Callithrix jacchus: one gene and its partners. The main gene of each other region encodes a partner of the protein of the gene in region 2 in a complex. Links are inferred from orthologs where the notes say so. Each region holds a gene or a part of one and is shown on either strand. Other genes may lie near its edges. The genes, in order: PPP4R1, PPP4R4 and PPP4C.

Region 1 (4,716 bases), on a different chromosome or scaffold from region 2:
CTTTTCTCATAAGAGCAAGCACAATCATAATCATCACTGTTTACCAGGAATTGTTCCAAGTGCTTCACAGGCACTAACTCACATACATCCATGAAAAACTCTATGAAGTAGGTAATATTTCTTATGCCAGTTTACAAATGATAAAACCGAGGCTTAGGGAGGTTAAGTGAGTTGCCCCAGTCTGCCCAAAAAGACACTGCTAAGACGAACAGAGCAGCCTGGCTCCAGTCTATAACTATGATAGTGTACTGTACACCTAGATTCAGATTGCTAGTAAACCACTAGAGGGCATGGGTTGTGCCCATCCTTCTACAGCTCCATCACCAGTACCCGGCAGAGTCTTTAAACTCATGGTTGAATTTTTCACAGGTATGCCTTCCCCTCTACACTGTGCTTCTTGGGGGCCATGGAAGAAACTGACACTGCATTTCACCCTTCAGGAGTAAAAAGTGTTTGCTCCACACAGTCATAAATACTTCCTGAATGAATGAATCTTCTATTTACAAAGTCGAACATAAATATAAAAAGCCCTCCTCGAGATAACACAATCAAGGCCACTTCTCCAATCCTAACCCGGCAAGAGATCTGAAGTCAATAGCTGCCTTAAATAATATCTGAAACTTACTATTAGGCAGAGAAGTGGCCTAAGAGTAAACATTAAACAAAATGTTAAAGCTGCCCTTCACTACATGAGTATTGCTCCCTTTAAGAAAGCTGTTTAGAGCCACCCTACTAAAAATACAGACTTGGCAAAAGTTTGGATGCGGTTCATTTACTTTAAAGACAAATTACTCATTTCAGATAATCCATCTAAACAGCAAATCCCCCTTACTTTACTCAAAACAACCAGGAGTCTAAAAATTGAGATTACTCTGAGTAAGGGAACCACATTAGACAATGCTAAGGATTAACTACAGAGTATTTAAGAGAGTACTTTCAAACTGCAGCCATCTCTGAATTACTTACACAGGTATTACACAGTCACAGCATCCAGTAGGCGTTCCACTAAACAGACCACAATTCTACTGTGTAACCATAGTAGAATTGGTCCCTTATGTATCTCAAGATCTACGCTTACACATTTTGCCCACTCTTCATTTTTAAAACGCATCTCAAAACCGAGTGATTTTTTTGATGGATCACTATTTTGTAAGATTAGCATGAATAGAAACTATTTTAAATTAACTGCAATTTGTCACTTCTTTCAATACAAATTTACCTAATTCTTTGTCTTTCCTGTCGTGACTCAAGTTATTTTCTGAGGCTTAGAAAAGTACATATAAGAAGAAAAATTCCTTTCTAAGTATCAATTCCGTCGCCATCAGGAAACAACGTCAAAAACTTTGTGTTTTAAAAAATAAAAGGGTCAACTCTAAAAACTTCAGTACCTCAAAGGAAAGCTGCACTGTTAACACTGATGGAGGATTGGGTGATTTCTGAACATCTGCATTAAAGAAATGTGCTCTCCAAACCTAGTAATTCCTGATGAGGCCACACCTTCTAACCTTTCTGTAATCCACAAATCAAACCGGGAGTAATCTAAAAACTGCCACAAGCCAAAGTAAAATGACAGGTATGTCATCCTCAGAGGATCCAAAACGGGGTCGGGGAGCCCAGACGGCTAGCCGGGACCCAGGCTGCCCCCGGGAGCTCCTGGAGAGCGACTCCAAGGAAACACACCTCCCGCGCGAGTCTCTTCCTTCCTAAAGTGACGGGGCAAGGGGAACACCAGGGGCAGAAACACACCCCAAACCCCACTTCAAATCTTGCCCCACCTGCTTCTCCTTCCGAAACAGGCGGCCTAGCCACTGCGGAGCCCACGGGCGATTCGGGGTCGCCAGGAGAAGGAAGGGCGGAAAGCTAACTTGGGCGTTACTCGGGGCGTCTCCCTCCCCCAGCGGAACCAGGGCGCGCCGTTTCCTCACGGACGCGCGATTTTCCCCCCAAATCGCCACCCCGGCCCGCCCAGGGCCGCCCTCGCCCAGCGTCCCCTTAGTCTACCCAGGCCGCGCCGCCGCCCGCCCTCCCCGACCGCTCCCCGCGGGCTGCCGGGCCACCGCGAGGCCGGGCCACTCACATCCGTCCGCGTCCTCCTGCAGGTCCTCCTGGAGCAGCGAGAGGTCTGCGCCAAGGGGAGAGAAGAAAGGCCCGGTCAGCGCCCCGGGGCCCGGCGCGACGCCCCCGCCGCCCTCCCTCCCGCCCCGGCGGCGCCTCCCCGCGCCAGGACCCCGCGCCGGCCCCGGCCCGGCCGCCACTCAGGGCAGCAGCGGAGGACGGGTGGGCGCGGGGAGCCGCCGCCGCCGCACGGAGAACAGGGGGCCACGTACCCGCCATCTTGTGGTCGCCCCCTCCTCCGCGGCCGCCCGGGGATCCGGGGCTACATGGAGCGGCGCGAGCCGGGTAACCGGTGGACGCGCGCGGGAGGGGCGGCGGGGAGGAGGAGGGCCGGGCTGGCGGGGGCGCGCGCGCGCGGGGCGGGCCAAGGGCCCGGGCCTGCAGCGGGCGGTGCGGCTCGGGGACGCCGGGTCCCCAGGCCGCGCCTCGCCCCGCCGGCCCCTCCGCGTGGCTCCCGGGTGGCCGGTGCTCCCGCCTCCCGCTTTCCCAGCTCCCGGCCGGGCGGCGCGCCCTCACACCCTCGGCCCGAGCCGCCCTCACTCCGAGCGCTGCGGACAGGGGCGCACAAGCTGCAGCCGGCCGGGACCCTGCGGCGAGTGCCGGAACCCGGCCGGGTGGGGCCTCCCGCTGCCTGGCCGCTTTATTGGGTCACCGGCCTCGCCCACCGCCCCGCTGGCCGCAGCCTTCTCGGCGGGCGCGCCGCTGGCCGCCCGCGCCCCATCCCCAGGCCTGCACGTACGTCGTCGGCGATCCGGGGCCGGGGGCGGCTCCGAGGTCGGCGGGGCCGGGGTCCCACCTCCGTTTGGAGGAAGCGCCGCCTCCCCAACCGCCCGGAGCCCTCGCCAAGTGGCTGCTAACAAAGCCCAGGGTCCGGCTGCGGGGTGGTTGAGTGACAAAGTCATGCCTGCCCAGCAAGCTTCCTCGTGCAGCACGCTGAAGGCTGGGGCGCCGGGTTTTTACTCCCACGTCCTGCTAACCCGAGCTGACATGGAGGGTAATCCACCTGAATCAGATCCTGATTCAGCCAGTTAGTTAATGGGACTGGGACCCATGTGGAGAATGAAGCTGATATCTGCCTCGTGGGGTTATTGGCATTAAACGAAGAATGTAGGGAACCTAGCACGGTTCTTAAGGTCTAGGAGGTGCTTGGGGAAAGGCGCCTATGATTCGCTTTTGTCTTTTAAATACTTTTGGCAGCACTTGAGGTGTTCAAGTCTGTATCCCAGACTTTATTAGTCTTGTTGTTTTGCATGACTTAAGCGATTAGCTCAAGCGCCCAAGTACAAAGTGGGGCTAAACCCAGGTTTTCCGACACGATTCTACCTCCATGGCTCTGTCTCCAGCTCTACCCAAGGCCTCCAAAATGGTGGTCTCCTAAAGTGACCAACAAAACACCAAGCTGTGTCATGATGCCACTTTGGCCGTATGGTCTCTTAGAAGAGGGAATTCTAAATAGTTAATTAGCTTGTTCCTTTTTGCCTTGTAGTCTTGACCAAGGACAATGTATTGGCATTTAATGCCATTGAAGATTCGGACATTAAGAATCAGATCCTCTAAGATTCCTAAATCGGTATAATAATATGGGTTCTACACATAGCTAGTCCAAAAAAAAATCCCTATCAGATACTACTAACAAGAGAGAAAGACAGTTTATATAGTCTGTATGAAATTTCTAGGTGTAATAAAAATCAGACCCAATAACTCGAAGTGTGTATCTAATTTTCTCAACTATAAAATAATTAAAACTAAAAGCCATTTATCTTCCTCCTTTGCTGAATGTCCTGTGAATTTAGCTGACACTCTCAGAATGACAAAGGAGTTAGAAATTCACAACTATCAACAGAAATCCGTCTCTAGATTGACTCAACCCCTGAGAGTTCTGTCCTGCTGAGCTACCTCATCAGTATCTACCACTTTAGCAATTCTGGGTAAATGGGAGAAGAAAGAGTCAAATCAGCTCTTTTTTTTTCATTAAAAAAAATTTTTTTAGAGGCAGAATTTTGCCTTGTAGCCCAGGCTGGAATGCAGTGGCACAGTCATGACTCACTGTAACCTGGAAGCCCTGGGCTTGAAAGATCCTGCAATCTCAGCCTCCCAAGTAAATGGAACTAAAAGCGCAGACCATTCCACCTGGCTAATTTTTTAAATTTTTAAAAAAATTTTTGTAGGGACGTGATTCTACTATTTTGCCCAGGCAGGTCTTGAACTCCTGGTCTCGAGCAATCCTCCAGCCTTGGTCTCCCAAAGCGCCAGGATTACAGGTGTAAGCCACCAAATGTGGCCCAAATCAGCCCTTTATACTAACTGGTGATCTCACTGCAACAACACAAAATCTACAGAGTGCCAACTGTGCTTCAGCCAATGGATGCATGAAGACAAAGAAAACTCTTGATCTATACAGTCGAATTAGACTTACAATTCTCAGTAATATGATAAAATAGGGGTTATATACCAAATGCTAGCCTAGGATATGAGACAACTAATTCTGCCTTTGGTAGCTAGGCCTCAATAAGTTTTATCTCAGTATTCTGTGGGAAGGGCAGCAAAGGAAGAGGATCTGTATCATTTTTGTATATTTAAGAGCTGTGCATTTGATTATCA
Region 2 (4,994 bases):
TACCACAGATACCCCAAAGATGGGGAAAAACTACATCAACATAAAGTCTAAGATGCAGAAACATTTCTAAATGATACAATTATCAGAGGAAATGGTCTACCTGGTAAATATGCTGATATTCTGACTAAAGTTAGAACAGAAACTCATGATGCCACTTTTAGTAGGCTAAAAAAGTAATTAAGAAAATTGAAGACCTGGAGAGGGATTTTTTTTTCAAAGGATCATTCAGTGAATAACACGGGACTGGAAACACGATCTATAAACAAGAAAGGAGAACAAGAGACTTGCCAGTACCTGAAACTGGCGCTGAGCTAAAGAAACAAGACAACAAATACCCTAGGAGGTAAATAACATCAGCTTTCAAAATCTGATTCTGAAAAAAAGAGAAAGTGAAGACTAATTTGCCAAAAGGGAAAAAAATGTCGTGTAAACTAATGAAAAATTTTTACGTAAATATGCACAAAATGCTGTAGGAAATTTCTGTTTCTAAAGGATTTTCATCAATTCGTTAAACATCATTAATGTTCACTGTATTAGTTTTTAAGATGCTCAGTCTACAAGGCAATGTTTTAAATAGTTCAGAAAAATCTTGTAAATATTTGCAGTAACCATTTGCCTTAAGCAATTCTGTAGAGCCTGTGAGATGGTTTGAAATTTAAACGACAGTAGGCCCAACTAAGTTTCTAAAACCCCTCAGACAAAATAATAAAGCTTGCATAGCAAAAGTAATACAAATAGGACATCCTGAACAGCAAAAGTAACTATCACATTTGTGGATTTTTTTCCATATAGTAGATCCCATATAATGTTCATACTCTACAATGAACTTAAAACTAATCACTGTGTACTCAAGTCTCATCTAAACTTACTGAATCTTACATGAGAAGAACCAATGCCAGAAAAGAACAAAAAAAGATGAGGTTCAACTCAAACCATCTGTTCTTCCTCCTCCAAGCAACATTCTATAAATTACGTATTTTATTTGGGTTCTCAAATTCGTAAGTCCACAGCCAAATATAATTTATAATACAGTTAAGTACTATGCACACAAAAGTACTTTGTTGAAGTGGCTAAGTAAATCTGAACATAACGGGAACATACATTTCAGAAAGCATTCATCGATGCTGCCACAGGGGGAAAAAAAAGAGCAATTTTACAGAATGATTAGGAAATACCTGAGCAGATAAACAGCCCTTTCAATGTCACTGAGGTCTTCATCAACTGTCAATCTTTCTATTTCTTCTGGTGTCTGTCAAGGGTAAAATACACATTATGCACCACAAACATTGGGTCAGTCTTGCCCCCCAACCTCCCAGTGAACCTCTATGAGGATAAAAGAATGAAAAAGTTTCACAATTAAGCATTAACAATGAAAAGTAATCAAGGAGCTGAGGATACCAGGCAACATCAATCACGGAGGTCTCTAATTGGGTGGGCGAGTTTGGGGAGGGGATTGTTTTTTTCTGTTTTTCTTCTTCTAGCTTCTAGACTGCAGCTTGAGAATCGCATCGTGGCTTCAGAACCTTGGCTGAAATCCATTTCATACGCATGTTATAAAACTAATAAATACACACACTTTTTATCTCTAATACCTCAAGGCTATTTCTCCAGCAGTTTCCAACCCACGAAATGCTAAAAGGGGGGATGGATGAAGACTGCAGACGAGTGGGCATGAAAAGGACAAGATCTGGAGTGGGGGAGGGAGGAAAATAAACTCTGGGGCTGGAAGAAAAACAGAGATTTGAGATTGCGGCAGGTGGGAATTAGACCAGCTAAAGCAGCTATTAAGCGATGGTCAGAAAAGGGGTCCGTAAATTAGGTTTGCCTGCGCTAAGGGCAGGAACCTCCCGGAGGAAGATGACTCTGCGGGGTGGGGAAGCCAGTGGGGGCGGGGGGAACAAGGTGAAGGTTGACTCCCTCAAGGGGGTTGGGGAGCAGGGTCCCAGCTAGAGTCCTGGAGGGGCTGGGAGGAAAGGATGCGCGGTGACTCAGGATGGCGGCAGAGGATCGCGAGGGCTTTGAAGACCGGAACCAGGACGACACTGAGAAAGGGTGCTAGCTGGGAGGCGAGGGGAGGCCGGGCTGCCTCGAGGGCAAGGGGACCGGAGCTTGATCTGACTCGGTGGGCTAAGGGTGAGGGGATGGGACACGGGTGGTGTCTCCGGGAGAGGTGGGGGGAGGAGTAGGAGCGGTGTGGACCAAGGGGTGGGCCTGGGGCCAGAACCCGGGCGTCGTCAGCGGACCAGGGGTCGGGGAGCCCAGGAGAGGACCGGGGAGAAGTGGGCTGCGGCCTCGAGAGGCAGCTCCCGCGGGGGGGGCGGAAGGAAGGAAGGGGGCCCGCGACTGAGGACGCTGGGGCTGCCCCGAGGGCTGGGGCTCGGCCGTTCCTGGGGGTGGGACGGGGGGATTCGGACGCCTCAGGAGGGGCAAGGGCCGCGGGGCTGGCGCCCGGTCAGGGCTGCTACAGGGACCCGTCTCTTGGGGATGGGGGTCCAGACTGAGAGGACCGAGTCCGCTCTGAGGAAGGGTCCGGGAGGAGCTGGCTTAGGGCGACAGGGGCTGGAGGAGGACAGAGGGGCCGGTCTGACTGAGAGGGTCCCGGCCGCCCGGAGAAGGGGAGGGTGGCGGGGTGGGGCGAAGGCCGGCGCGGGGCCGCGCGAGGCAGGCGGCCGGACGCCCTGAGGGCAGGTCTTCTCCCCGGGGCGCACCTTGAGGCTCCGGCGGACCGGCCTCTCGATGATGGTGAGCTCCTGCAGGTCCTCCATGTAGCCGAACAGGCAGTTCTGACTGAAATCCATCGCGGCGGCCGGCGGCGGCGGATGCATGGACCGCCGGGCACCTTCGCCACCAGGGCCGGAGCGGCCCCGGGATGCCGGACGCGCTCAGCCCAGCGGCCGCCCACCAGCAGGACTTTCTCCCGCTTTCGGCCGCCGGAGCAGAACGTGAGGCTGGCGGGTGGCTGGAGCACGAGCGCAGCCCGGCGAGGGGGCGGGGCGGGCCCGGCGAGGGGGCGGGGCAAGGCGCGCGGGCGCGCTGCGGGGGCGGGGCCAGGGGCGGGTGCCCGCCACCTTGCCCGCCTCGGCCCCGCCCCCTCCCGGGCGCCGCGCACACGCGGCCGGACGCAACTGCCGAGCAGCTACGCGGCAGCTCCGCCACCCCTCTGCGCCCGCTCCCCGCCGCCCTCCTTAACCCCCCGTCCGCCCGCAACTGAGGGCGCCCCACCCCGCGGCGCGTGCGCAGAGCCTTTTGCCTCCCGCAGCCGGCAGAGGCGGGCTGGGGGCGGGGAGGCTGAGCCAATGAGAGCGGAAGCCGAGGAGAGGAAGCTGGCGGGGCTGCGGCTGCACCTACTGACTTAACTGTCCAGTTATTCCCAGACCGCCCACCCTAGCTGGCGGGGCAGCGGACCCAGAGACCGCCCCCGGCACAGCTCCAACCCTGGAGGAGGGCTGAGTGCCGCAAATAAGCAATTAGGACGTGAGGTGCCCGGCAGACGGGGGGTGACTAGCTTTTGGGCAAGGGCAGCAATCGGAAAAGGCCTCCTGGAGAAGAGTCATTTAAACTGAATCTTAGAGACCGATAAGGCTTTCCTAAGAGAAATAATTAGAGCAAGCCCGTCTGGGGTTGAAGCCTGGGTGTGTTTGGTTGGGTTTGAGAAGTGCCGTCAAAGTAGAGCTCCGGGCTCAGGCATCCAGGGCTTGGCGAGGTGGGTGGAAGAGGAAGAGGACCTAGGTCCTCGGTGGGGGAAAGCCCTGCTCTGGACAGCCACGTTGAGTCCCTTGCACTTAGTTCTGTTAACAATGGGAAGCGATGGAAGGGGGATTGGGGCGATTGTTTTGGACCTGGGGAACAAGTTATGTTGGTACCCTTCGGCTCGTCAGTCAGCAAGGCCCCTTTTTTGTTTTTATTTTCCACTTGTTCCTCCACACCTTTCTTCTTCCCACCATATGCGCCCTCTTCTGAATTAAGGTATGTCCCAGTTCATGCACTGTATACAGCCTCAAAAGATACATGGTTTGTGTCTGTTTTTAACATACATGAATGGCGTTGTGATGAGAACTCATTCTGTTCCTTGTTTTTTCTCTTAGAAGATCTATTCATGTGACACTATACAACGAGTTCATTAATTATGACCAATAATAATATTTGATTTCTGTGTCTAACATATTCTACTAACCATTTCCTCAATAACGGACAGTGAGGTCGCCAGCAGTTCCTTGCTACACAGACCACGTTGAAATGGTTGTTAGACGTGTCCCTTACAGAACATAAGAAATCGAGTCGCTGGGTCATGAGGTCCACAGCGCTTGGCTTCACTCTGTCATGTTTCCCTCCAGATGGCTTTGCATTGACACCCACACCAATGGCACATGAAGGTGGGAAGATACCCGTTTCCCATTTTATATGATAACATTTGGTATTATCTGATGTCCTAATTGATGTCAATCTAAAATCAGTAAAGTAGCATCACATTGTAATTTCGATTTGTATTTATTTTATTGGTGGTGTCATGCACTATATTTTTCCATATACTTAAGAACCATTTGGATTGTTTTCCTTCTGTGATTATCTATTTACATCCTTTACCTATTTTTCTGCTGAATTTTATTTTTTATAAAGGAATTGGAGGAGTTGAGTTTCTTGTATGTTCTAAATACTAATCTTTTGTCAGCTTTAGACAAATATTGCAAATATTTCTCTCAACCTTTCATGCATCCTGTTAGCTTGGTTTTCGCTATGTTACCATTGAGGAGAAATCCTTAGCTTTCCTTTAGCCTAATGCATCAAATTTTAGCCTTGTGGAGTGTGCTTTTTGATCTTGTTTAGGAATCTTTTCCCACCTATTAGTCGCAAAATATTCTCCTACATTTTCCCCTATTTGGCTTCATACTTTTACCTATCACAGCTCTTAACCATCTGAGGTTCACCTTGCGTACAGTGTGAGCAGGAATATAGTATTATTATTAACTCCATTTAGTGAGCCAGTTTTCCCAGAA
Region 3 (5,002 bases), on a different chromosome or scaffold from region 2:
TGGCAGATGCCTGTAATTCTAGCTACTCAGAAGGCTGAGGCAGGAGAATCACTTGAAGCCAGGAGGTGGAGGTTACAGTGGGCTGAAATCACGCCATTGCCCTCCAGCCTTGGGCAACAAGAGCAAGACTCCATCTTAAAAAATAAATAAATAGTAAAAACACAAAAATTAGCCGGGCATGGTGGCACATGCCTGTAATCCCAGCTACTCAGGAGGCTGAGGCAGGAGAATTGCTTGAACTTGGGAGGTGGAGATTGTAGTAAGTCGAGATTGTACCACTGCACTCCAGTCTGGGCAAAAGAGTGAGACTGTCTCGAAAAAAAAAAAAGAAAGAAAGAAAAAGCAACTAAGAAATGTTAAGGGGAACATTTTGGAATCACAGAAATCATGCTGACTGAGATACAGGCTTGGCATAGGAAAGGTGGACTCCAATTTGTTAACTTCTGAAGCTGTCAATGGCAAAGATTTCTCTGAAGGCACCGGAAGAGATTTGAATTGGGCTTCCTTCATCCATTGAACAAGTATTAAGTATTTCTATGTATTAACAAGTATTTCTAAATGCTTACCATGCCAGGCCTTATTCTAAGCACTGGGGCTTCAATATTGAAAAAGACAAAGTTGGATCCTCCAAGGATTGTGGTGTCGGATAAATAACAAAAATGTGTAACTTAAAAAAGTGTAACATAAAGTTACAAGGCCTAGTCCCAGCTCGACTTGTTTCCCTAGCTGAAATGGGGATGACCAGGCGTGGTGACTGAGGCCTGTAATCCAAGCACTTTGGGGGGCCGAAGAGGGAGGATCGCTTGAGCCCAGGAGTTCGAGATTGAAGTTAGCTATGATCGCCCCACTGGACTCCAGCCTGAGCAAGAGAGCAAGACACTATCTCTAATTTAGAAAAAAATAAAAGTTGTGGCCGGTCGCAGTGGTTCACGCGCCCATGAACCCAAAGTAATCCCAGCACTTTGGGAGGCCTAAGCGGAAGGATCACCTGAGGTCAAGAGGTTGAGACCAGCCTAACCAATGTGGAGAAACCCTGTCTCTACTAAAAATACAAAACTAGGCCGGGCATAGTGGCTCACGCCTGTAATCCAAGCACTTTGGAGGCCAAGGCGGGAGGATCACCTGAGGTCGGGAGTTCAGGACCAGCCTGACCAATATGGTGAAACCCCGTCTTAAAAAAAAAAAAGAAAACTAGCCAGGCGTGGTGGCACACATGCCTGTAATCCCAGCTACTCGGGAGGCTGAGGCAGGAGAATCGCTTGAACCCGGGAGGCGGAAGTTGCGGTGAACCTAGATCGCGCCATTGTACTCCAACCTGGGCAACAAGGGCCAAACTCCGTCTCAAAAAGAAAAAAGAAAGTTGTCTAAATTTAAACATTTTTATAAAATGAAATGGGAGGGGACTGGTCTAGGGTTTCTAACAGCCCAACATCACCTGCGGCTGAGCCCACAAACACTTCCGCTGGCCTCCAGCTGCCACCGGATTACTCCCGCTCCTTCCCGATTTCAGACTTGGGAAGTGGTGCCGGGGGCGCGAGGAGGGAGGGTGAGGAGCGTGTATGACGCCACATCCGGCGCGCGGCGGAACTGGCTTCCCTTTGCTTCCGCGGCGGGGCCGGAAGTAGAGGCGGCGGCGGCGGCGGCCCAAAGCGGAGGGAAGTCGGGAGGCAGGAAGCGCCCCATAGCCGGAACCGGAGTCGCAGCGGCGGTAATAATGCGAGACCCCTCTAGGCCACCGTCCTTAGCGCGAACCGTGGGATTCGACGGGAGTTAGTGGGGGTCCGGCCAGGCCGTGGGACGCTGGGGGGGTCCCGGGGCCGATGTGAAGGGAGGCGGGGGTGGGGGTGGGGCCGGGCTGGCCCTAGAATCCAGTTGTCCGCTCCTCGCCCCTCACGGACACTCTAATCCGCGGGCTTGTCTTGGCCTTTCCCAGGAGACCCCTGTGCGGTGCGGAGGGGGCGGTGGCCCCGACTCTGACCCGCGCCGGGGGGTGGGCCATGGCGGAGATCAGCGACCTGGACCGGCAGATCGAGCAGCTGCGTCGCTGCGAGCTCATCAAGGAGAGCGAAGTCAAGGCCCTGTGCGCTAAGGCCAGGTGAGCCCGTTGGCCCCACGGAAGGGAGGCCAAGCCGCCGCCCACGGGTTCTGGCCTGGGGCAAACCCAACTGAGAATTTTGGGCTTGCCCCTTCCTGGAAGCTTTCCCAGAGAGGAACGGGATGGGGCCACTGCGCTCGAGGAAGAGCTAGCCTGCTGGGGGAAGACAGCTGGATAAAGACACTTAAAGTATTAGAAGATGTGTTTCCAGTGGAGTAAGAGTGTTACGTAAAGTACTTAGGAAACCAAGGGAAACAAGCCCATCTGTCTGGGGGACAGAAGCTTCTGGGGGTGGGTGGCGAACTGTGAGACAGGCCTCGAATAAGGAGTTGGTAAAAGAGTCAGCAACAAAACAAAGGTTTAAGACAGGAAGGTTAAAGACGCTGTGATTTATAAAAGTCTGAATTCCAACAACCACCCATAAAGGTTGGCGTATTGTACTCATTTTACAGGTGAGGACTGTCATGTTCAAAGTTACCCACAAGTAAGGAGTGGAGTCTGAAGCCAGTTCTTAGTGTCCTGTCCTTTTTCAGGCCATAATGCAAGAAGGTGGATTTGGATCACTCACATTCAGGATGGGACCCTGAGAAATCGTAGCAAGTAAGCCAGGATAGAATTAAGCATGATATGGCCGGGCGTGGTGGCTCACGCCTATAATCCCAGCACTTTGGGAGGCCGAGGCAGGTGGATCACGAGGTCAAGAGATTGAGACCATCCTGGTCAACAAGATGAAACCCCGTCTCTACTAAAAATACAAACATTGGCTGGGCATGGTGGTGTGCACGCCTGTAGTCCCAGCTACTCGGGAGGCTGAGGCAGGAGAATTGCTTGAACCCAGGAGGCGGAGGTTGCAGTGAGCCGAGATCGTGCCATTGCACTCCAGTCTGGGTAACAACAGTGAAACTCCATCTCAAAAAAAAAAAAAAAAGAATTAAGCATGATAGGAAGGCCAGTTTAAAGTTCTGTGGGAAGTAGGATGACCTAAGGCTCTAGGTTTTGGAGTGTGAGATGGCTCTAGGTTTGAATCTGAACTCTGCCACTTACTAGTTGTGTTAGTGATCTTAAGGTGTCTTTACTTGCAAAGCAGAGTTAATAGTACTTAATAAGATGGTTGTGAAAATTCAGTGAGTTGCTGCTTAAGTTTAGCACAGTGTCTTGGTACAGCATACATGCTTGATAGTCACTAGGTGTTCTATTTCTCTTGGATGAGGGCAACGATGAGATGGGCTAAAGCCATCAGGGAAGGCTACTAAATAGAGGTAGACCTTGAAGGATGAAGATAATTTGGCTAGCTGACAGGCAGGACCAGTGAGGGAAGGGCATTCCAAGCAGGACAAGTGTAGCATTGGAGGCCCTGAGAGTGTGAGGAACAGTCAGGGGTTTAATTAATTACCTGCCTTCTCTGGGGAACTGTGTGATTGTGACTTCTACCAGGCTGGTGAATTGCGGCAGAAGAGCCCGCAGAATTACCCTATGTTTATTGAACTATACACCCACTATTGGCCTGGCCCTGTACTGGCGAAAAAACGTCTATTCGTCTCTTCCTCCCAGCAATCCTGAGAGGTTGGAATCATTTGCTCCATTTTACCGAATAGGAAACCATGACTCGTAGAGGCCTGGTGACTTGACTGAGGTCACCCACTGAGGACATGGCAGAGCTCAGTTCTGAATCTGTGGCCCCCAGGCTTTTTGCTCGGCCCCACCTCACAGACTCCCTGCAGCCAGACAGGGCCTCTGAGGGGATCGTGAGCAGGGTGGGCCTCTTTTTCACCCTGTCTGTGGCTTTTCTCTTTTGCCAGCTGAAGGAAACGTCCCTGACCAGACCTGCCCCACCGTGTTTTTAATTGTCCCCTCTCCCTCAGTCCTGATGGGCATTTTTAGGAACTTAAACCTGTTGTTGTCTGGCACTATTCTTTTCCTCTGAAGTCTTATCTCCTGCGCAGGCCTTGGATCAGTGTGGTGGCGATGGTAGATAATGCTTGGATAGCATGCTGGAGTTTGCAGAATAGGAGGAAGTTATATATTCAGTCTCCATGGCTCCTTGTAACAGCCTAAGGAGTAGGCATGACGGGGCTGAGTACTTAACCCCATTTCGTGGAAGAAGAAACAGCCTCTGAGTAGATAATGTCTTGTCCAACATCGTGCAGCTAGTTGGAGGGGAAGTTAGTTGTGCATGCAGGTTTTTGACTGTGCTCTGTGGTCACTGAGAGCCAGGCGGAGGCATTTAGATTTTCATATGGGGTGTGAGGCAGCAGAGAGCTGTGGAAGGCTAACGGGTGGAGAGTCCTGCCCAGTTGAAACTGAGTGGAGCTAGGAGGTACTAGGCCAAGGCCTGAGTTGGTCACTGTTGTCCTGGGCTCAGTTCTGAAGTGGGGCCAGCTCTGATACCTGACCAAGGCCTCCTGAGGACCCACCAGAGACCCAGGCTGAGGCAGGTAGTGTTAGGAGCACCTGCTTGCCCACAGGGCACAGACATGTAGATGAAACCCATGGAAGCACAGAGGCCTGCAGTGTCTGAGCTGAAGTTGCTGCTACTAGAAATATTAGTACAGTAGAAGAGCTGAGCTTTTGAATCAGGTGGTCTTCAGTATGGATCTGTGCCTTGTCACCTAGAAGCAGTATGACCCTGGTCAAGTCACTTTCTCATTTTTTGAAATGATAATGACAGCCAGGTGCCATGGCTCATGCCTGTAATCCTAGCATTTAGGAATGTCGAGGCAGGCAGATCACAAAGTCAGGAGATTGAGACCATCCTGGCTAACATGGTGAAACCTCGTCTCGACTAAAAATACAAAAAATTAGCAAGCGTGGTGGCACATGCCTCTAGTCTGAGCTATTCGGGAGGCTGAGGCAGGAGAATCACATGAACTCAGGACGTGGAGGTTGCAATGAGCCAAGATTGTGCCA

Evidence for each region.
Region 1: PPP4R4 (region 2) and PPP4R1 share a complex: the UniProt entries of both Homo sapiens proteins name them as parts of the PP4 complex. The link is inferred for Callithrix jacchus from reciprocal best matches to the Homo sapiens genes PPP4R4 and PPP4R1.
Region 3: PPP4R4 (region 2) and PPP4C share a complex: the UniProt entries of both Homo sapiens proteins name them as parts of the PP4 complex. The link is inferred for Callithrix jacchus from reciprocal best matches to the Homo sapiens genes PPP4R4 and PPP4C.

The regions. Positions count from the first base shown.
Region 1 is NC_133514.1:53,315,063-53,319,778, reverse strand, and holds the start of PPP4R1 (serine/threonine-protein phosphatase 4 regulatory subunit 1), read right to left. Parts: upstream 3,048-4,716; 5' UTR 3,018-3,047; coding exon 2,855-3,017; intron 2,414-2,854; exon of another isoform or gene 2,335-2,413; coding exon of another isoform or gene 2,328-2,334; intron 2,123-2,327; coding exon 2,078-2,122; intron 1-2,077. UniProt on the Homo sapiens protein: Regulatory subunit of serine/threonine-protein phosphatase 4. May play a role in regulation of cell division in renal glomeruli. The PPP4C-PPP4R1 PP4 complex may play a role in dephosphorylation and regulation of HDAC3.
Region 2 is NC_133509.1:128,995,295-129,000,288, reverse strand, and holds the start of PPP4R4 (serine/threonine-protein phosphatase 4 regulatory subunit 4), read right to left. Parts: upstream 3,002-4,994; 5' UTR 2,826-3,001; coding exon 2,709-2,825; intron 1,250-2,708; coding exon 1,176-1,249; intron 1-1,175. UniProt on the Homo sapiens protein: Putative regulatory subunit of serine/threonine-protein phosphatase 4.
Region 3 is NC_133513.1:29,442,586-29,447,587, reverse strand, and holds the start of PPP4C (serine/threonine-protein phosphatase 4 catalytic subunit), read left to right. Parts: upstream 1-1,623; 5' UTR 1,624-1,708; intron 1,709-1,933; 5' UTR 1,934-1,997; coding exon 1,998-2,095; intron 2,096-5,002. UniProt on the Homo sapiens protein: Protein phosphatase that is involved in many processes such as microtubule organization at centrosomes, maturation of spliceosomal snRNPs, apoptosis, DNA repair, tumor necrosis factor (TNF)-alpha signaling, activation of c-Jun N-terminal kinase MAPK8, regulation of histone acetylation, DNA damage checkpoint signaling, NF-kappa-B activation and cell migration.